Linked DNA regions of Oryctolagus cuniculus. The protein of the gene in region 1 interacts with the protein of each later gene in a biochemical or structural test. Links are inferred from orthologs where the notes say so. Each region holds a gene or a part of one and is shown in the gene's direction. Other genes may lie near its edges.

Region 1 (6,701 bases):
TTGATCTTCTATCTGCCAGTTCACTCCCCAAATGCCCACAAGAGCCAGAGAGGGGCCAGACTGAAACCAAGAGTTCAGAATTCCATCTAGGACTCCCATGTGAGTGGCAGACTCAAGTACTTAAGAGAATCTGCTGCTTTGCAGGGGGAGCATTAACAGGAAGCTGAATGGTAAATGGAGGCAGGACTTGAACCCAGGCACTCAGTCCAATACAGGATGTGGGTGTCCCATGCAGTGACTTAGCATTTCTGCCACAGTGTCCACCCAAAGAATGCATCTTTTTAAATAAAAGTTATTTCATAAGACTGTAACTTTTTACTTTAGTTTCCATATGTTATTCGGAGTTTGTTTTTTCATGAACCATAATGTTTAAAGGTTTTATTCAGGTGAACATGAATACCGTGGATTACATATAGTTCGACCTTCAACTGGGAAAATTGTGAATGAACTTTTCAAAGAGGCAAGGGAGCATGGGGCTGTCCCTCTGAATGAAGCTACAAGATCTTCAAGTGATGACAAATCTAAGGTCAGTGTGCTGTTTCAAAACTAAACCTACTATTTCTATATCTGATCTCCTATTCTTCTTTTATAAGCAAACATTGGTTTTCTAATTGTATATTTGTTTTAATATTTCATGTTATAGGATTATTGCCTGTCTGTTAATTGACAGAAATTTGCAAAAAGTATAGACAGAAGTCTCACATACTGTTCACCTATTTCATGTAGTTTCCCCAAATGGTTCTACTTTGCATGATTATAAGAGAGGACTTCATGAAATTTGTGGAAAATGAAATTAAAAGATAAATTTATTTCAAAAAGGTAAATTTAATTCAAAGTACTTTGAAATCTCTTCATAGTTTTTTTATCATATGCATTTCTACATACCTTTTAAAGAAACCCTGTGTACATGAATTTTGACATTTTTCTGCATGAAAATTTATCAATTAATTCCATTTTTCACAAACTTCTTGAACTTTGTAGGACAATATTTAAGCCATGAATTTGCTATTAATACACTCTGTGTCAAAAAATTTTATCTTGTAGATTTATATAACTCAATCATGATACCATTCTATCATTACAAAGCTACTCATGTTGTACCCCTTTGTAGTCATGCCCACTATCTTCTCCTACACTAACTCTCTAACCTCTGGCCATCACTACTCTCTTTTTCCATCTCTGTGATTTTGTAACATTAAAAATGTTATAAAAATGATATCACGCAATAGGTAAATCTTTTGGGAGTAGTTTTTTCAGCTGGCATAGTGCCCTCAAGGTACTTCAAAGTTATCCCATGTATCAAGACTGTTCTTTCTCTAAGTTGCATTTATGGTATGGATGTACCACAGGTTTGACCATTCATTTATTCAGGGCCATTCTAGCTGTTTCTAGATGCTGATTATCACAAATAAAACTGCTGTGAGCAATCATACATAGGTTTGTCTACAGATGAATTCTAGTTTTTATAGCATAAATGCTCAGGTGTGCAGTTACTGAGTCATATGGTAAGTCCGTGTTGAGTTTAAAGAACCTGCCAAACTGTGTTCCAGAATGGTAATACCATTCTATATTCTCAGTGTATGAGAGACTATTTCTCTTTATCCTATAAGCATTTGACATTGTCACTATTTTTGATTTAGCCATGTTGATAGTTGTATAGTGATAACATACTGTAGTTTGAATTTGCATTTCCCCAATGAGTGATAATGTTAATTTGCATTTTCTTAATTGTTAGTGGTGTTGAACATCATTTCATGTGCTTGTTTGCCATATTTTTTACTCTTTTCAGTGAAATATCTCTTTATGACTTTTGCCCATTGGTTATTATTGAGTTTTGAGAGTTTTTAAAATATTTTAATAAGTATGGGTCCTTTGTCGAATGATATGGTTTACAGATACTCTCAGACTATAATTTATATTTTCATCCTCTTAATTGGAATTTTGCAGAGCAAAAGTTTTAAACTTTAATGCAGTCCAGTTTTTCAGGTTTTTATTTTCTTTTGTGGATCATGCTTCTGTTATTGTCTAAGAACTTTCACCAAACCTTAGAACCACTCATTCTTGCCCATGTTATCCAAAAAAGTTACATAGTCTGCATTTTACACTTAAGCCCATGATTCATTTTGAGTTAGTTTTATGTAAAATGTGAGATTTATATTGTTTCCTTTTTTGCTTATAGATAGCCAGTTGCCCCAATGTATTTGTTGAAAAGGTTCACCATTCTTTGTGAAAGTGCTTTTGTACCTTATTAGATTTCTGTTGAGCATTAATATAGCTTTTTTATCAGCCATCTCAGTATTGGAGTATTGAAGACTTCAAGTGTCTTTATGTCTAATTGTTATTTATTCCCATAATCAGCATTCTCAGCCTGGAATTCTCCAATCACAGTCACTCGGTGAGGTCTTCTAAACTCCCACATGAACTCGCATACGATGGCTTAGAAGGTTGGAGGTGTTCCTAGATGAGTGTCTGCTGAAAAAGCATGTCTTCTCCATATTGATTTTGATATCAATATGGAGAACTATTCTGATGAAACAAATTTTAGTTTTTATTATCTGTCAACAGCTTGAAATGCTTTCTCAGTCAAGTCTTTTTTTTTTTTTTTTAAGATTTATTTATTTATTTGAAAGGCAAAGTTAGAGAGAAAGAGGGAGAAACAGACAGATCTTCCATCTGCTGGTTCACTCCCCAAATTGTAGGGGCTAGGCTAGACCAATGCCAGGAAGCAAGAGCTTCATCTGTATCTCGCACATGGGTGGCAGGGGACCAGGCACTTGGGCCATCTTCTCTTGCTTTCCCAGGTGCATTAGCAGGGAGCTGGATCAGAAGTAGAGCAGCCAGGAATCGAACTAGCACCCATATGGGGTGCTGGTACTACAGGCAGTGGCTTAACCCGCTATGCCACAACACCAACCCCTCAGTCAAGTCTTAAAGTCACTTTGGTTCTTGCAAGCTCTCTGCTTCCATTTTAAAAAAATGTAGAATTGATGATTTAGTCTGTATGGACAAAAAAAAAAAATGTGACAATTAGATCATTGAGGATATTAGGAGTGATTAGAAAGAACAGTATTTTTACTTAGAATCCGCCCTACCTGATGAATGGAAGAACTTGTGATTAGTATAGCAAAATAAAAAGTCTAATCAGAGCTGACTTGTTACAGTTGAATCCAAATAGCTTATAAAATAAGCTTATAGCTTTTCTTCAGGGTCATTTAGACTCATTGATAAAATTCTTCCTTTACTCTAAGACTTGTCATAACATTGTAATGGTAGCTTAAAAATACCTTAGCTACACTTGAAAATACCCATTCCAGTGCATAAATGCTCATCTTAATTTGATTATCTAGTTTATAGTACATCACAATTTGTAATTACACTTTACTTAATAAACCTTTAACTCAATTTTTATCTTACTTTTATTGTAGTCTTTTACAGGTGGAGGATACAGGTTGGGAAATTCCTTTTGTAAGCGGTCTGAATACATCTATGGAGAAAATCAGCTGCAAGATGTAGGTATAGTACTCAAAATGAAAATTGATAGATATTTTCCTTTGGTTACTACTTTTAATTTTGAAATTTAAAACCAAGAATATAAATTTCTTTGTTAACTTTTGAAGCTTTATTCAAAGGATCAATGTGTAAGGTCTCAGTGTAAATTTTTGTATCATGTATCTCATTCATGCCTTATACTTAGAGGTACATAACTGATTGTTGAAAGAATGTGTAGGTGACTGTCAAAATGGGCTTACAGGCCAAGTATCTGGCCTACTGGCTAAGCCCCTGGTTAGGATACCTGTTTCTCACATTTGAGTGCCTGGGTTACATACCAGGCTCTGGCTTCTGATTCCAGTTTCCTGCCAGTGCAGACCCTGGCAGTCAAGGGTGATGTTTAAAATAGTTGACTTCCTGCAACCCATGGAGGAGATGTGGATTGGGTTCTCAGCTCCTGACTTTGGTCTCCCCAGCCATTGTGGGCATTTGGGAGTGAGCCACCAGATAGTAGCTCACTCAGTCTCCCTCCCTGTATGTCCCAATCTCTCTGTTTTTCAAAGAAAATTGTTTTTAAAAGTGTCATATATTGTGATAATGATTATAGTTGGTATAATGAGCTGGGTTGTAAACATAGACACTAAAGTCATTCTTTGTTTCTGTTGCCTTTTAAAATGTTGGAATTATAGTTTCATTTTCAGCATTTATAATTTTCGTAGAAGCACATTGGGACTTCTCTTGCCCTTTATCATGAGTATTTAAGCTCTGTAGCAGAGAAGAGGAAGGGTGGGAGTAGTGGGATCATAGCTGGGTGCCGTCTTCTGTTTTCTTTTACTGGTAGTTGTGCTTCGAGGTCAGGGTCAAGCTGTGGAACCTTTGGTATTTTCAGCCATTATCATTTGTTAAACTGAATGCTAGTCTGCTAAGCAAACTGAATAAAGCACAATAGGGATAAATTCCTATTTTAAATCTAAGTAGCAGTGTAATGTTCTGTGAGATACCACATTGGAAAACTTAGCCTTGTTTGATGGAAATGGTTTCTCCCCTACTCCTTATCTCACAGGTTCAGGTTTTGCTTAAACTGTGGAGCAATGGTTTCAGCTTAGATGATGGAGAATTGAGACCTTACAGTGACCCAACAAATGCTCAGTTTTTGGAGTCTGTTAAGAGAGGGTAAGATACATTATTTGTATTCTGTTACTTGGAATGGGGCTTTTTTTTTTCCCATTAACCAGATGACTATTTAGTGGTGTGCCCTTCTGCTTTTCAAGAGTTGATTACTAGACAGTATTATGTAAGTGATTGCTGGGAGAATGGGCCTTTTTCCCAAGTATGTAAAGGCTGTATTGCTGTCTCAGTCACTACTTCTGGCTTTGAGGGGAAGGGACATGGGACGTTGGATATTGGCCCCGTTTTAAAAATCTTGATGAAACCATGACCCAACTCTAAGCAGAAACATCTTAATATAAGAGATCAGGAAATTGGTTAGCATGTAGCTGCCCGTCCGCTATAGCATTGTCCTGCTTACTGGTGACAGGGTGACTTACACTGCACACTTGCCTGAAATTCAGCAGCTTGTATGAGAACTCTTTAAAGTGGCATTACTACTGGCAGGTAGTTCAAACAGTTAATTTAAAGTGATAATTTGTGAAAGTAGTCCAGAGAGATAGTACTCTAAGCCAACTGAAAAATAATATCAACTCATCAGTCCTTATTGCTACAGGATGAAGAATCAAGTGATTTTTGCTTTGATGATAAAAGCTTTTCTGTGATACAGATTTCACTAGCTGACATGGAATTATTCCTAAGTAGCAGCACAACTAAGGAGATAAAGATGACAATAAGCTGGAAGATGTAGTAATAGGAAGGGACCAGATGACTTAGCATGAATTTTTAATGTAAATTTTGCACAAATGATGTCAGGATACCAGACAAAGGTAAGTAGTGCTATAAGCAGTATGCTGAAGACCTTAAGAAAGGTGAGAAGCTATCCTAGGAGGCAGTGTGTGGTAGTGGCAAACACAAGAATATAATAGTTTGAATCAATGCTATGGATATAGGAACCTGAGGAATCAGTGAGAAGAGGTAGGAGCGTTTGGGGGGCAGAGATGGTCCTCTGTGGTGAAATCCAGCATTACTGTTTCTATGATGCTGATTTTACGATAGTGGAAGAAAAAATACTGATAATCAGAGTACAGTGATATATATTAAGACTAATTTATTGTTAAGTAAAAATCTATAAACTTTGTAGGCTAATACTGAAACAAATGTGGCATATAGAAAAGACAGAGTTATAGAGAGAGAGACAGAGAGGTCTTCTATCCGCTGGTTCACTCCCCAGATGGCCGCAGTGGCCAGAGACGCGCCGATCTGAAGCCAGGAGCTTCTTCCGGGTCTCACGAGAGCGCCGGCTCTGGATCTTTTTGAGCATTGACATGTTGCCACAATGAGAAATCTCACGTTTAACTTCATGTGACAGGTCTAGTCAAAATGCAGGTGCACCTAAAGTACAATATAAATATACCTTGAAGCTATATGTATTAGGTATATATGAAACATAAGTGAATTTTGTGTTTAGACTTGGACCCCATCCTACAGTTACCTCATTATGTATAATGCCAATATTCTAAAATTAAAACACTTCTGGTCATAAGCCTTTCTGATAAGGGACACTCAACTTATTTGATAATGTAAGCAGAAATTGCTGTTCTGCGGTGTAGCTCATGATTTGATGACAGTAATCTTTAGAAAGCTTAAATGTTTTTCCCTTTTTTCAAGAGAGATTCCCTTGGAGCTTCAGCGACTGGTTCATGAAGGCCAACTGAGTCTGGACATGGAGGACCATCAGGATCAAGAATATGTAAAACCTAGGCTGAGGTTCAAGGCTTTCAGTGGAGAAGGGCAAAAACTTGGAAGGTAAGATTCCTAAAATGAGAAAAGTATTCATCCTTGTTCAAATTTTCTTTCAGGACAAAAGAAAAGCAAAAATGACCTGTGAAAGAGAAACTAAAATATGAACTGTGAAGACCTTAAATAAACAGAAATCCAGTGGTGGTGTTGGTAGGCCGTACTTAGCAGTTACACATTCCTGGCTGTCTAAATGCTCTATTTGCTGTTAACTAATCTAATCTTCACAATAGCCGCATTTTGCAGATATAGTAATTTTCCCAATGTGATTTGAGTTAGGAAATGACCAGTGAGTGCCGTTCAAA
Region 2 (7,420 bases), on another chromosome or scaffold:
GACTAGAGCCAGAAATTAGGCTAATATAAAAGCAATTGTGGGGCCAGCAGTGTGACGTAGCAAGTTAAGCTGCCGTTTGCAGTGCCAGCATCCCATGTGGGAGCTGGTTTGAGTCCCGGCTGTTCTACTTCTGATCCAGCTCCCTGAAAATGCTCCTGAGAAAGCAGTGGAAGGTGGCCCAACTGCTTGGGCCCCTCCTCTTCACATAGAACTTACTGGCTCCTGGCTTTGGATCAGCTCAGCTACCGCCATTTGGGAGTGAACCAGCAGATGGAAGATCTGTCTCTCCCTCTTTAACTCTGCCTTTCAAGCAAATAAATAATCTTTAAAAAAAAAAAAAAAAAGCAGTTTGTATTCCCTGTCTGTCTGGTTCCTGAGTTTAGGGAAACAAAAGCTGGGATTTGGATATTGAGAGATTCAACAGCAACTTTAACCAGATTATTTGGCATATAAATTTGGGTAACTGGGATACTAAGGGACACCAGTATGTACTTACTATAGAAGACTTTTAATTTCTCTTGAGATAAATATTTATTCATTGGCATAGATTCTTATACAGAAAGGTAGAAAAAAAGTAAAACAAAGAATCCCACTCCACAGTGATAACCAAATTATGCATCTGTATTTTATATGTATGGAAATACAAATGTCTTCATAAAGTCCATGGAAATGGAATTGAAAGACTGTTTTGGTGCAAGAAAAATTCAAAATCCATGCAAAGAACGAACTTCTAAAAAGTTCATGGAAAATGTGTATTACGAAAAACTATGTTTGAATTTCAAAAAGTTTTTGCACCAAAATAAATTCCATTTTCCAGGACTTTTTGAAGTGTCTTCGTGTTTGTATGTATATGGTTTAACTTTTTTTTAAATTTATTTATTCCTTTATTTGAGGGTCAGGCTTAGCTGAAGCCCCAAGCCAGGAAGTCAGTCTGGTTCCTCCAAATGGGTATCAGGGACCCCACTACTTGAAACATCACCTGCTGCCAGGAGTGCACACTGGCAAGAAACTAGACTGGGGACTGGAGCAGGACTCAAACCTGAGCACTTGGATATGGGATGTGGACGTCTTAACCTCTAGGCCAGGTGCCTGTCCCTGGTTTTTCAAATGAGCTATGCAGTACATGTTAAATCTTGCTTTTTTCAATTTGAACCAAAAATTTGCAAGAAGTACAAATACATAGCTCAGGCACAATATAAAACATTCAAGATCTGATTGTGGGAAATCAGTATTCTATCTGCTGGTTTCCTCCCCACATGCCTGCAGCCAGCGTGGGCTGTGCCAAGGCCAAAGAGGAGCCAGGAACTCAATTCAGGTCTCCATCACTGCTGCCTTCCAGCGGCTGCATTAGCAAGAAGCTGGAGGCAAGCACTGAACCCACTCTGATGAGAGACGTGGGTATCCTAACCGGTGGTTCAACCACTAGGCCAAAAACCCTCTCGCTCCTTCGTTTACATGGTGATTGAGAGACAAATGCAGTGACAGTTATCTTGTAATTGTGTGCCCCATATGCATTCAGAGACCTTAATGTACATTGTGCGCCCCCCCCATCCCCCTTTCCACAGCAACTTAACACAGGCAGGGAGTCTTGCCCCACTGTACATGGGAACTGGCTGCCAATCTGACTTTCCTAACCCACTACTGAAATCTCAAACAGATTGTTCTTGTTTCAGTCCTACTTTAGGCCTCTCTGGCCCACAACACAGGATGAAGTAAGAGGGTTTTTTTTTTTTTAAGAATTATTTTTATTTACTTGAAAGAGTTACAAAACAAGGGAGAGAGAGAGGTTCACTGGTTCACTCCCGAATGACCACAAAGGCCAGAGCTGAGCTGATCCGAAGCCAGGAGCTTCTAGGTCTCCCACGTGGGTGCAGGGGCCCAAGGACTTGGGCCATCTTCCACTGCTTTCCCAGGCCATAGCAGAGAGCTGGAACGGGAGCAGAGCAGCCGGGACTAGAATCGGAGCCCATATGGGGTGTCGATGCTGCAGGCTGGGGCTTAACCCGCTGCGCCACAGCGCTGGCCCCCACGGTTTCTTAGCAAAGCACACAAGGCCTTCTATGGAACCACTACTAACCTGTCAGTTTTCACCATGCCCTACCTAGCTCACATCCCGGCAGTACAAAACTGCATTTGCTTCCGCACACATTTAAGACTTTGTAAACTGCTCTCTGCCTCAGAAAGAGAAGTCTGTTCTGCTGGTTCTTGCTTTACCATTTGTTTTGATGAGAAACTTGCGCTTAATTTTTATAAAATGACCTATACTGTAACTTAAACTTTGCTTTAAACCTATTCATCATCCCAGAGAATGACAGTATATAAATCCAGTTTCACTGATGATTTGCGGGGCTCGCCTGTCTTCCCCTCTAGGCTGGGGGCTAAAAGGCAGGATCTGGGCGTCTTGCGCATCGCAGCCTCAAAGCCTGGCACACTCCCCAGCCGAAGGTGCACTAAGTGTCCTGCTCAAATCCTACAGCACAGGGAGAGAACCCAGGCGGCTTGCTCCTTACCCAGTTCCTCCAACGGCGCCCAGGGCCCGATTCTCTTTAGGGAAGAAAGCCGACAGAGGGTCGAGCCTATCGCCCTGTTTCCCCGCCTTGCCGCCCACCCAGGGTCACGGCTACAGGACGACTTAAGTTGGTGCACCGCCCACCTCCCCGACTCGCTACTACGTCCGCAGATTCACACCGGATCCTACCCTCCCTCTTCACCGCCGGTGGGAGCGCGTCGGCCACCCAGGACCAGCCCCTCCTCCCTTACCCGCAGTGACGCCCCTTCCACTAAATTTGGTCTCCGGAGGGCGGCGCCTGCGCGCTTCCGTATTACGGCGGAACTAATCAGTCGACGCCTGCGCTTTGACGCATCTGGTGCAGGGAAGGGAAAGGGAGGGGGACTGCAGATGCGTCACACCCGGAAGCAGAGAGCCGGAAGTGGGGTTGGACAGGTTATCCCCAGGGGTGGGGAAGCGGAGGCCCAGGAGGAGGGGGAAAAAGGCGGAGGATCCTGGCTACTACTCTGAATCGGACACCGGTTCTCTTAGATCTGAGACACAGAAAAAGGGAGAGGCGTCTCCTTCCCCTTCCCTCTTCCCTCTCAGCCGTAGCCATGGCCGAGGCAGGGGCCGGGCTGAGTGAGACCGTCACTGAGACAACGGTTACCGTGACAACCGAGCCCGTGAGAAAGGAGGGGGCGGCGCTGCCTAGGGGTCTGGGAGACCCGGGGAGGGAGGAGGGCACGGGGCCTCGGAGAGCTGTGGAGGAATGGGCCTGTGGACCTGGGGTGCGGGGATGAATGTCGGGTTAGGAGGACCACAGGGTACTGGAGATACTGGGAGTGGCGGAGGTGCTTACGGCTGGTCAAGAGACAAGCAGCAGGAAGTTAGACGGTGCTGTTGGGGCGGTACTGGGTAGAAGTAGTGAAAGAATGGAATGGAGGACTGGGGCAAGGAAGGTGCTGAGGAAAGGCTGTGTACTCGGTGTGGTTGGAGAGGGCGCTAGGGGACTCGGACCAGAAGCACACTTACCAGTAAATGCTGAGTGGATGAGTGTGAAGAGAAGTGGAGGGGGTGAAGGAACAAGAAAAAGAGACGGGATCGTGTTTTGAGAAATCAGAAAGAGGAGATGGAAAAACAAATTGCGTTTTGGTACAAACAAGCTAAATGGCTTTCCAAGAGAGAATGTTGCGTTGGACTTAATAACGTCTGGATTAAGGGAGTTTAGGAATTGGTAGTTCAGCAGTAGTCACTACCAGAGATGCCAGGATGCTAGGAAATAGGTGGATGACAGGTAGTGGAGCCTGAGCTTAAAGACGGGAGAGATAAGAATGTAGGTCCTTCTATAGTGAGAAAAAATAAGGGTCCAGAAAAAGAGAGGGAGAGCAGAGATTAGGCACTGAGATGATAATTTTCATGTATTAATACCACCAAGGATGTTTTGGGGAGGAAGACAGAAGCAGCAAGGATTCTACTTTTCTTTGAAGATTTGCTGGGACCTTCCCTAGATTAGGAATTGTGTCTCTGTGTATGCAAATAGTCCTCAGGAATAGGAAATAGCACTTATTCCTCAAGGGACTTAGTGAGGTCACAGGCCTGTTCTGTCCAGACCCGTGCTATTTTGTCTTCTTCCAGCACTCAGCTCCTCTGCTTCTGTGTCTGTGGTACTGATTGAGCTGGGGAAGTGAGGAGGGGAGTGGGAAGGGGAAGGGTCAGGAGGAGCTAGACAGGTATGCCCATCCCTCTTACCCTTCTAGGAGAACCGGAGCCTAACCATCAAACTTCGGAAACGGAAGCCAGAGAAGAAGGTGGAATGGACAAGTGACACTGTGGACAACGAACATATGGGACGCCGCTCATCAAAATGTAAGTAATTGTGGGCCCACAGTAGCCATGGGATGTTTTTATTTTTTTAAATATGTATTTATTTAAAAGAGAGAGAGGGAGAGAGAGAGAGAGAGAGATTCTTCCATCTGCTGGTTCACTCCCCAAATGGCCACAACTGCCAGGGCTGGGGCGGGCCATCCAGGAACCTGGAACTCCATCCAGGTCTCCCACATGGGTAGCAGAGGTCCAAATTACTTGGATCATCTTCCGCTCCTTTCCCAGGTACATTAGCAGAGAGCTGGATCAGAAGTAGAGCAACCAGGACTAGAACTGGTGCTCATATGGGTTGCTGGTGTCGAAGGTGGAGGCTTCATCCACTGCATCACATGGCCAGCGCCAAGCCATGGAATTCTTGCATTTCCTGGCCTTGCAGAAGCCCTCAGGTGGTCATAGTCCTTTCACTTTCTTGGTGGTTCTCTGGCATCAGGAAAAGGAAGTTAAAGATGTAGGAGGGGCTAGAACTGGGATGTGCCAAGGCCTAAAGGCAAGAGGTACCAGAGGTTAGAGAAGTGGGATTTTGGACAGTGGGTTCAGGTGCCTGAGTACCAGGGAGCAGGCCTGGAGAGGCTGGATCCTGGAAGGTAGGGGAAGACAGTGAAGTCGCTACTTCCACTGAAATCCAGTGGGAACGGAATGCACTATACATTTTACTCTTTCTCCTTTTTAACTGGACTCCTCCTTCCACATTCAGGCTGCTGTATTTATGAGAAACCTCGGGCCTTTGGTGAGAGCTCCACGGAGAGTGATGAGGAGGAAGATGAGGGCTGTGGTCATACACACTGTGTACGGGGCCATCGCAGAGGACGGCGTCATGCAGCCCTGGGACCGACTCCCAGCACCCCTCCCCAGCCTCCTGACCCCTCCCAACCCCCTCCAGGGCCAATGCAGCACTAAATTCCTCTCTCCCCCACCATTCCTGTGTCTGTCTGGCCCTGAATGTGTCCATGTGGCTACTTGGGGACTAAACCCATGGTTTCATCCCTTCTCCAGCCCACTCCTTCCCTATTCTCTACCAGATAGAGAGAAAAGGAAGAGGAAGTGGACAGGGATCCTGGAATTCTGACTTGCTGCTATTCCAGAACCCAGGTTTCTGGGTTTCCCTCAGCCCTCATTTCTCCTCTCAATACCCACCCTCCTCTCTCCAGGGATCCAGGCATTTGGTCCCAGTCTCCTCCCTTTGTTCTCACTGCCAAACTGCCTGTCCTGGGATCCAGTAATCTTGGCCCCCTGCATTCTCAACTTGAGTCCCAAATACTTAAATTGAGTTTCCAACTGTCTTAGCTTTCACTGCCAGGGTCCCAGTCAGATTCCAGGCAATCTCACCTTAGCTATGCTTGTTAATTCTGGCTTAGAGCTCCTCTACTAAAGTATTTATGTAACCCAATTCTGTCCTTGCCTGTGGGATATGAGGTCTTGTGAGAGACCTCAGGCCTTCCAGCCCCTCCCCTCCTGCCTATACTTCATGCACTCAAGAGGAATTAGGAGAGAGGTCTTTGTTCTTCTCACCTCTAATGGAAAATAGCCTTGTCTTCTGTGCCCACAATTGCCATGTGAGTTAGGATTTCTGACAAAGCTGGCTTGAGACAGGTCAGTTAGAGCCAACTATCTCCTCAGCCTGTGGTCTTTGAGCTTCAGAGAGAGGTACAACATAGTCGCAGGGTCCCTAGTCTATGCAAGGAGATGAGTGTGTGTCCCCTGTACTGCACTCTTGCCCCTTCCTTCCAAGGCTTTGATGTCTGCCAGCCCCAATGTCCCGCTCTCTCCACCTTCCCTGCCCCTTACTCTGGGATCTGGTCATCATTTTCCAGGCCTCTTGCCATGCACAGTTATCAGAGATCAATCAAATCCATACCACCACTGAGATCTCGTTTATTGCCACAGATGCGCAAAATAAATAACCCAACATTGCAAAATGTGTTAAATACGGGCCCATTTCTATGTATGGGGAGAGATGTGAGACTGTACAAGGGTGAGTCTGGGAATGTTTGGACCATTCCCAGGTTGAGGAGCGGAGAGGTAGCACCATTGGTTCCTTTCTGAGAGTATGTGCAGGAAGAAGTTTTAGAGGCTTATTGGGAAAAGGCTGTGAGCACAGCAAGAAGTCACTTAAGGAAGGTAGACTAGAACTGGCTTGCTCAGTTCCCCACCCTAAAGGGTATTTAAGCATCGGAGAGGCCCTAGGGCCCAGCCCTCAGTCAAGCCTCTTGTCTCCTGAAGAGAAACCTCAGAGTGGACAGCACAGGGGGGAAACACAAGCCTTAGAACTCTGGAGAAGGCACTGAACCCTTCTTTGGAGCTGGACAAGGCAAGAGTGGGAGTTAAATGTGTGACTAGCAAGGCCTCTGTAGTAATCACAGGGCGTTTATCAATCCTGGGGGCATAAGGGCTTCTTCCCCCAGTGCAGGTCTGGAACAGTGTAGAAGGGGAGGGCTCAGCAGTGAGGAGAGATTCCCAAGAGGGAGGGAGCAGGAATGAATTCAGCTTTAGGCATGGATGTGGAAAACCTGAGGCCGGTTGAGGTCTTACCTGGGTGTGTGGGGGGAGATAATGTGTACTGGCAGGGGTGCTTATCTGTACTCAAATGGGCCTATGGACAGGATCCCTGGAATCATTTCCACCTCCAGGATGGCTGGGTCAAACTACCAAGAGGGTTGGAGGCGACGCTCAGCCTTCCGCTGGCACAATGCGGAGCGGGGCTCGGGGATCGTGGGTGCAGAACAGCGGGAAGACGCGCTCCCCTAGGGGACCGGGCGCCTGGAAGGCGAAGAGCAGGTCCAGCGAGAGGCCGTCGTAGAAAGCCACGCGGCCTCGCTCCCAGTCCAGGTCCACCCGAATGCGCCGTGGTGGGGGCCCGGCACCACCCAGCAGGGTAGGCTCCGGTGCCGTGAGAGCCCACAGGCGGCCGCCACGGCCTTCCACGGCCCACACGGCCCCCGCAGGGCTCAGCTTTACGCTGCCCTTGCGTTGCACCGATTCCCCGGCCGCGCCCACGGCATAGCGGCTCTCCCCGTCGTCTTCGTCCTCCCCTGAATAGTCTCTACA
Region 3 (6,701 bases), on another chromosome or scaffold:
TGTGAGCACAGAACCCGCTGGGCCTGCGAAGTCCTGTGTGCCAGGGGCTCTCAGGCTGTATCCTCACCCAGAGCTCTGACCACGTGGGGGTCAGGATCCTTCACCACTCTCCTGTGCCCGTGCCCGTGCCCGTGCCCTCACCCTGTTCTTTCATGCATGGGTTCGCGGGGAAGTCTGCAGAGCAGATATGGCCCAGGCATCTTCCCTCTCTGGTGAGCTTGGAGGTCTCCTTGCTCACCACTGCTCTGTCCTTTTCACAGGCAATTGAAAATATCGACACATTAACCAATCTGGAAAGTCTGTTTTTGGGGAAAAACAAAATCACTAAACTGCAGAACCTGGACGCACTTACCAACCTGACCGTCCTCAGCATGCAGGTACGGCTCCACACTTCCTGCAGGCCAGACCTGTGGCCCCAGCCCATTGTGGACCTCACTGTGTCCCACCAGCAGTGCTTTGCTTCCCTGTTGGTGACTGAGACCTTAGATCCCACAGACTTCACACACACACACATTCACACAGACTTCACACCCTGTTCTCACATGGTTCACACACAGACTTCACACTCAGACTTCACACACACATTCACACAGACTTCACACCCTGTTCTCACATGGTTCACATACAGTTCACACACAGACTTCACATATAGTTCACACACATGCAGACTTCACATACTTCATGCACACACATGCTTTGTATACACACTTCCACTGTATACACATACACTTCACATACACACACTTCCTGTCACACACTTTTTGTACACAGTTCACACACGTTTTTGGTAAGCATTTGTTTTATTTATTTGAAAGGCAGAGTTAGAGAAGGAGACAGAGAGAAATAAAGGGAGATTTTCCATCTGCTGGTTCACGTCCCACACCGCTGCAACAGCCAGGGAGAAGCCAGGAGCTTCTACTGAGCCTCCCACGCAGGTGCGGGGGCCCAAGCACTTGGACCATCTTCCACTGCTTTCCAGGCCATAACAGAGTGGGATCAGAAGTGAAGCAGCTGAGAATCGAACCAGCACCCATGTAGGATTCAGAGTTAGAGAGACACAGAGAGCGAAAGAGAGGTCTTCCATCTGCTGGTTCACTCCCCAAATGCCCTCAAGGGCCAGGCCAAAGCCAGGAGTCAGGAGTTTCATCCCGGTCTCCCACATGGGTGCAGGGGCCCAAGGACTTGGGCCATCTTCCACTGCTTTCCCAGATGCCGTGGGAAGAGCTGGGTCAGAAGTGGAGCAATGGGGGGCCGGTGCTGTGGCACAGTAGGTTAATCCTCCACCTGTGGTGCCAGCATCTCATATGGACGCCAGTTCTAGTCCCGGCTGCTCCTCTTCCGATCCAGCTCTCTGCTGTGGCCTGGGAAAGCAGTAGAATGTGGCCCAAGTCCTTGGGCCCCTGCACCCGCGTGGGAGACCTGGAAGAAGCTCCTGGCTCCTGGCTTCAGATCAGCGCAGCTCCAACTGTTGGCAGCCATCTGGGGAGTGAACCAACAGATGGAAGACCTCTCTCTCTCGCTCTCTCTCTCTCTGCCTCTCTTCTCTCTGTGTAACTCTGACTTTCAAATAAATGAAATAAATCTTTAAAGAAAATAAATAAATAAATATAGGACTTGAACCCATGCCCATATGGGATGCTGGTGTCACAGGCAGTGGCTTAACCTACTACACCGCAGTGCTGGCCCCACACTTCACACACTTCATACACACGTACTTTGTGTGCATACAACTCATGTACACACCTCATTCATGCCCCTCCACTCATACACAGGCACTTCACGTAAACCACATACACACACTCAGAAACACTTCACAAGGCCATACACACTCTTCACACACGTGCCATGTACAAACACTACATACACACACACACCTGCTGAACTGAAACGTTCCCAGGGAGTCCCAGGTGGCTTCAGCCGCAGGACCCTTTCAGCTGGTGGCGTGTGCTCTTGGCTCTCTCCTGGCGTCTGGCCAGGCGGTGGAAGCAGCGAGCACAGACCCGCAGACTCCCAGGGGCCTGTGCTGCCCCGTGGTGCTGAGTTCCTGGGAGCTTTCTTGCTGGAAGCAGCTCAGCGCGGTCAAGCTCGGGTGCACTGGGTCCTGGAGGCCGGCCGGCCCAGCCGTGGGCACGGAGAGCCGCTGTGACTGTCTGCGGCAGGTTGCCTGCCCACCGCCGGAAAACTCAGGCTGCGGTGGGTCCTGAAAAGCAGGAATGAACTTGTTTGAAAAGAATCATTTACTGCATGTGGGTGAAATGGTCGTTTTTCCATTCAGTTATTATTTGTAGCCATTGTCTTCCTACCAAATTCAGGTCTTTGAGCTTTCTACTTGTCAAACTTCTTACTTGATGAAGTATTAAGACTTTTTACTGTAATGCAAATCTAAAATGTTATCTCAAAAAGTGGAGACAGGAGACGGAGCAGGGTGGGGGGAGGGAGGAAAGGGACATCATGCTCTTAGTTGCATCTACAAATCTTTTTAAGAAAGTTTTTATTTAATGAATACAAATTTCATAGGTACAGCTTTAGGAATATAGTGGTCACATTGAATCCTAAAAACTAAAGATTAAGATAAAAAATAAATATTTTACAGATGGCTGTAAAAAGTAAACACCTTAAAAGTAAATATAATCAGCAATTTTGGAATTATTTTAAGTTTAATTAACTTGATTGATTTAAATGATTGAGGAATTATCAGAGTAAGGGCTGATGTTGTGGCCTAACACTGGCATCCCATACTGGGGTTCGGCCTGCTCTGCTTCCCCTCCACTTCCCTGCTGACGGCTTGGGAAAGCAGCTGAAGATGACCAAAGTGCCTGGGCTCCTGCCACCCCTGGGAGAGCCGGCTCCTGGCTTCAGCCTGGCCCAGTCCTGGCTGTTGCAGTCATTTGGGGAGTGAACCAGTGGATGGAAGATCTTTCTGTCTTTGTCTCTCCCTCTCTGTCTCACTCTGCCCTTCAAATAATTTTTTTTTTTTTTTTTAAAGATTTAAAGCCTGGACACGAGCTGGGGCCCACATGGGATGCCAGCATCGCAGGCAGCAAGTTTACTTGCTACACCACGGTGCCAGCGCCTCAAATCTTTAAAAAAAAAAAAATTAATCCAAGTAAAGCTTCCCCCAGTGTATCTATAAAGCGTGAGTTCCCACACTCCGTGCGAGAGCCTTGGCTGGCAGTGGCGGCCCCCTCTGCACGTGCTGGCCCTGCCTGCCCCACCGCGCTCTGACCGCTGTCGGCTCTCCTCTTTGCAGAGCAACCGGCTGACCAAGATCGAGGGTCTGCAGAGCCTGGTGAACCTGCGCGAGCTGTACCTCAGCCACAACGGTATCGAGGTCATCGAGGGCCTGGACAACAACGTAAGCCGGCAGCCTCGCACTGCGGCTACGCGCTCGCTGCCCGCAGCCGCCTCACTGCCCGCGCGCGGCCGCCCCACTGCCCACGGCCGCCCCGCTGCCCGTGGCCGCCCCACTGCCCACGGCCGAGACACTGCCCACGGCCGCCCCGCTGCCCACGGCCGAGACACTGCCCACGGCCGCCTCACTGCCCACGGCCGCCTCACTGCCCACGGCCGCCCCACTGCCCACGGCCGCCCCGCTGCCCATGGCTGCCCCGCTGCCCACGGCCGCCCGACTGCCCACGGCCGCCTCACTGCCCGCGGCCGCCCGACTGCCCATGGCTGCCCCACTGCCCACGGCCACCTCACTGCCCACGGCCACCTCGTTCCCCATGGCCGCCTCACTTCCCACGGCCGCCCCACTGCCCGTGGCCGCCCCACGGCCACCCGACTGCCCGCGGCCGCCCCACTGCCTGCGGCTGCCCCACTGCCCACGGCCGGAAGGTCTCTAAGGAGCGCTGGCTGCCGGCAGAGCTGCAGTAGCCTTCCCACCTGAAACCCGCACGGCCCTCGGCCAGTCCCCTCCACCCGTGTGGCGTGGGCGTCAGCAGCAGCCTCCCGCACTGGCGCTTCCCAGGGCGGTGGTCACTGCCTGTCCAGCCAGCATGTGGTCATTTGGGAGGAGTTGAGAAACCCTAGGCTTGTAGATGCCCCTGTTCCACAAGGAACCTGGACACCAGCAGCTGTCCCCTCCTTCTGGGCCCTGGCCTCTGAGCTGCCTGTGTCGCTCCCGGCCACCACCACCACTCTGAGGGACGCATGGAGGACTGGCTGCTCGCCGGCCACCCCCAGCTCAGCCAGCTTTCCTGTGCAGTAGCCACACCAGCTAGAACACGTTTTTGCTCATTTATTTGTATTATTTTAAGATTTATTTATTTATTTATTTGAAAGGCAGCGTTAAAGAAAGAGATCTTCCCTTGCTCGCTCACTCCCCAGGTAGCTACAGTGGCCAGAGCTGGGCTGATTTAAAGCCAGGAGCTTCTTCTGAGTCCCCCATGTGGGTGCAGGGGCCAAGAACTAAGGCCATCCTCCACTGCTTTCCCAGGTGCATTAACAGGGAGCTGGATCAAAAGTGGAGCAGCCAAGACTCGAACTGACACCCATATGCGATGTCGGTGTTGCAGGCAGCAGCTGTGCCGCTGTGCCGCGGCGCTGCCCCTGCACTGGTCGGTGTAACTCTGGTCTTTCCTGGTACTGGAGATGCTGTTTCCGTGTCCCAGCAAGGGCTCCCCCAGATCTCATTTCAGCGACTTCTTCAGGGTATTTTGGAAAGGGTGGCGTGTGCCTGTGGAGAGTTGGTCACCTCCCTTCAGCTTTGGGACTGACTTGGAGTTGATGGAGCCAGCGGGGGGCCAGGTGCCCAGTGGCAGCCGCGCAGGGAGCAGCAGTGCGCGGCCCCTGGGAGCGCTCACGGCCCCGCTGCCACGCCAGAGCCTGGCACCGCTGGTTCCGAGAAGCCGCAGGTGTGGCAGGCAGGCAGCACAGGGGCTCGGGCCGAGTGTGGGCTTGGTGAGGCGCCGGGGTCGCTCAGCCGCTGAGACGGAGACGTGACCCAGTGTGCAGGCCTTCCTGTCTAGTTCTCGCAAACCAAGCAGGCCTTCCCCTGACTTCTTCCAGTCTCACCTCACAGATCTGGACCCTGCGTGCGGCAGGAGGTGGGGAAAGTGGCCCCTGCCGTGGCCCCTGCACCGGAAGCTCTTCCTCACCCAGCCTGCGTGCACCCTCCCCACGCTGTGCCACTGTCGCTTCTCTCTCCTTCTCAGCAGTTCTGATTGGTTTGCTTCTGGAAGGCCATGCCGAACCTTGTCCAGCTCTCCCTAAAAGACATGCACTGGTGTCGCGTGCGTGGCCGGCCCCTGGGCCACAGCCTGGGCGGTGCTGATGAGCCAGAGTCCATCTGCCACTAGCCCCCTGCCCCAGTGCTGCACCCTCCAGTGTGGACCCCGCGGGCTGGGAGCAGCTTTGTCCACCAGGGCTGGGCTTGCGGTGACCTTGAGCCCTCTGGAGCGGGGCCCTCCTGGCCCTGCTCTGCAGGTCTGTTTGGAAGGCCCCAGCGCCGTGACCCACGTGGCAGTGCCCACGGCACCAGCGCAGGTCGGGGGCCAGGGCCCCGGAGCTCTGAGGTCAGCCATGGTGCTTTTGCGTGCAGAGCTGCCAGTCAGGTGCTGTGGTGTGTGTCTCACTGGAGTGTCTCGTGACTCAGATCTGGAGTCAGGAACGCACTCACGAGTACAGGGGTCCTCTGTGAGTAGTGGGTGAGCAGCGGCAGAGAGGACGGGGCGCGCTCTGGCCAGCGGGGCTTGGCTTGGTCGCCGTCGTGCCAGCAGGCAGTGGGTCCTGACGGCCCCAGTGCTGCCTACAGCCATCTTGTGTGCGGTGTCGGATCCACGCCAGAGGAAGCTCTTGCCCAGGCCTAGCTGTGTGCACGTCCTGGGACAGGAGAGCCTGCCGGCAGTGTGGTGGCGCTGTGTGTGCCTGCAGCTGTGCCTCGCCACCGCCAGCTGTCCAGTCCCGTCTGCCCAGGGCTCGCTCGCCGCACACCCAGGCCCTCCTGTGCCCCCCCACTCAGTCAGGAGGGCAGGCCCTCGTCCCAGAGTTGCAGGCTTCCTCTCCCTCGGCTCGCGGCGGTTTGCAGCCTCACTCGCAGAGGAGAGGAGCGCGCTTGGAAGCCTCCGTGCTGTGCCTGTGCTCGCGGTCAGCGCTAAGCAGCCCCCCAGAGCCGCCTGCTCACGGGGTCCCAGGGGCCACAGATTGGGTCTCAGCCAGTGGTGGTGAGGACTGGGGACATGGCTGTGTCCCACAGTGCTGGCCGACCCTCGGCCACAGCCCCGCTCAACTGTGGTGATCCATGTATTTCCTTATCCCAGAACAAACTCACAATGTTGGACATTGCATCGAATAGAATCAAGAAGATTGAAAATGTCAGCCACCTTACAGAGCTGCAGGAATTCTGGGTAAGTCTGGGGCTCGCCGAGACGGAGGTGGTGTGCAGCTGGGATCCTGAGGCCCAGGGCTGCGCCGGCCAGGGGCAGGTGTGGAGCCCGCGTTGGCTGTGTCGGTGCCGCCTCAGCAGTGGGCCCCAGGCCGGCAGCCCCGCGGCAGCCAGAGCTTGTGAGCAGTGCACTGGGCGCAGGCCCAGCCGAGCTGCCGCCTGGCTGTGCCTGGCTGTGCCCCGTGGATGTGGGTGTGCTGGTACCGTCACAAAGTCAGGGAGAGGCGACAGGGTGAGAAGGGGCTCCCCGTCGCGACTCCATAAGGGTTGGGCTGGGGCCTTTGTCCTGCAGTGCCGCAGGCCGAGTGTGGCCCTC

The links.
Region 2: the proteins of UBXN2B (region 1) and PPP1R11 form a complex in vitro, tested with the Homo sapiens proteins (2 studies listed by BioGRID). The link is inferred for Oryctolagus cuniculus from reciprocal best matches to the Homo sapiens genes UBXN2B and PPP1R11.
Region 3: the proteins of UBXN2B (region 1) and PPP1R7 form a complex in vitro, tested with the Homo sapiens proteins (2 studies listed by BioGRID). The link is inferred for Oryctolagus cuniculus from reciprocal best matches to the Homo sapiens genes UBXN2B and PPP1R7.

What each region holds. Positions count from the first base shown.
Region 1 is NC_091437.1:83,594,551-83,601,251, forward strand, and holds part of UBXN2B (UBX domain-containing protein 2B), read left to right. Parts: intron 1-375; coding exon 376-526; intron 527-3,425; coding exon 3,426-3,509; intron 3,510-4,552; coding exon 4,553-4,662; intron 4,663-6,267; coding exon 6,268-6,405; intron 6,406-6,701. UniProt on the Homo sapiens protein: Adapter protein required for Golgi and endoplasmic reticulum biogenesis. Involved in Golgi and endoplasmic reticulum maintenance during interphase and in their reassembly at the end of mitosis.
Region 2 is NC_091436.1:140,416,982-140,424,401, reverse strand, and holds PPP1R11 (E3 ubiquitin-protein ligase PPP1R11), read left to right. Parts: upstream 1-3,105; coding exon 3,106-3,279; exon of another isoform or gene 3,280-3,291; coding exon of another isoform or gene 3,292-3,298; intron 3,299-4,126; coding exon of another isoform or gene 4,127-4,155; intron 4,156-4,248; coding exon 4,249-4,357; intron 4,358-5,069; coding exon 5,070-5,272; 3' UTR 5,273-6,291; downstream 6,292-7,420. Other genes in the region: RNF39 (RING finger protein 39), read right to left, coding at 7,043-7,420. UniProt on the Homo sapiens protein: Atypical E3 ubiquitin-protein ligase which ubiquitinates TLR2 at 'Lys-754' leading to its degradation by the proteasome.
Region 3 is NC_091434.1:511,677-518,377, reverse strand, and holds part of PPP1R7 (protein phosphatase 1 regulatory subunit 7), read left to right. Parts: intron 1-260; coding exon 261-377; intron 378-3,250; coding exon 3,251-3,355; intron 3,356-6,260; coding exon 6,261-6,347; intron 6,348-6,701. UniProt on the Homo sapiens protein: Regulatory subunit of protein phosphatase 1.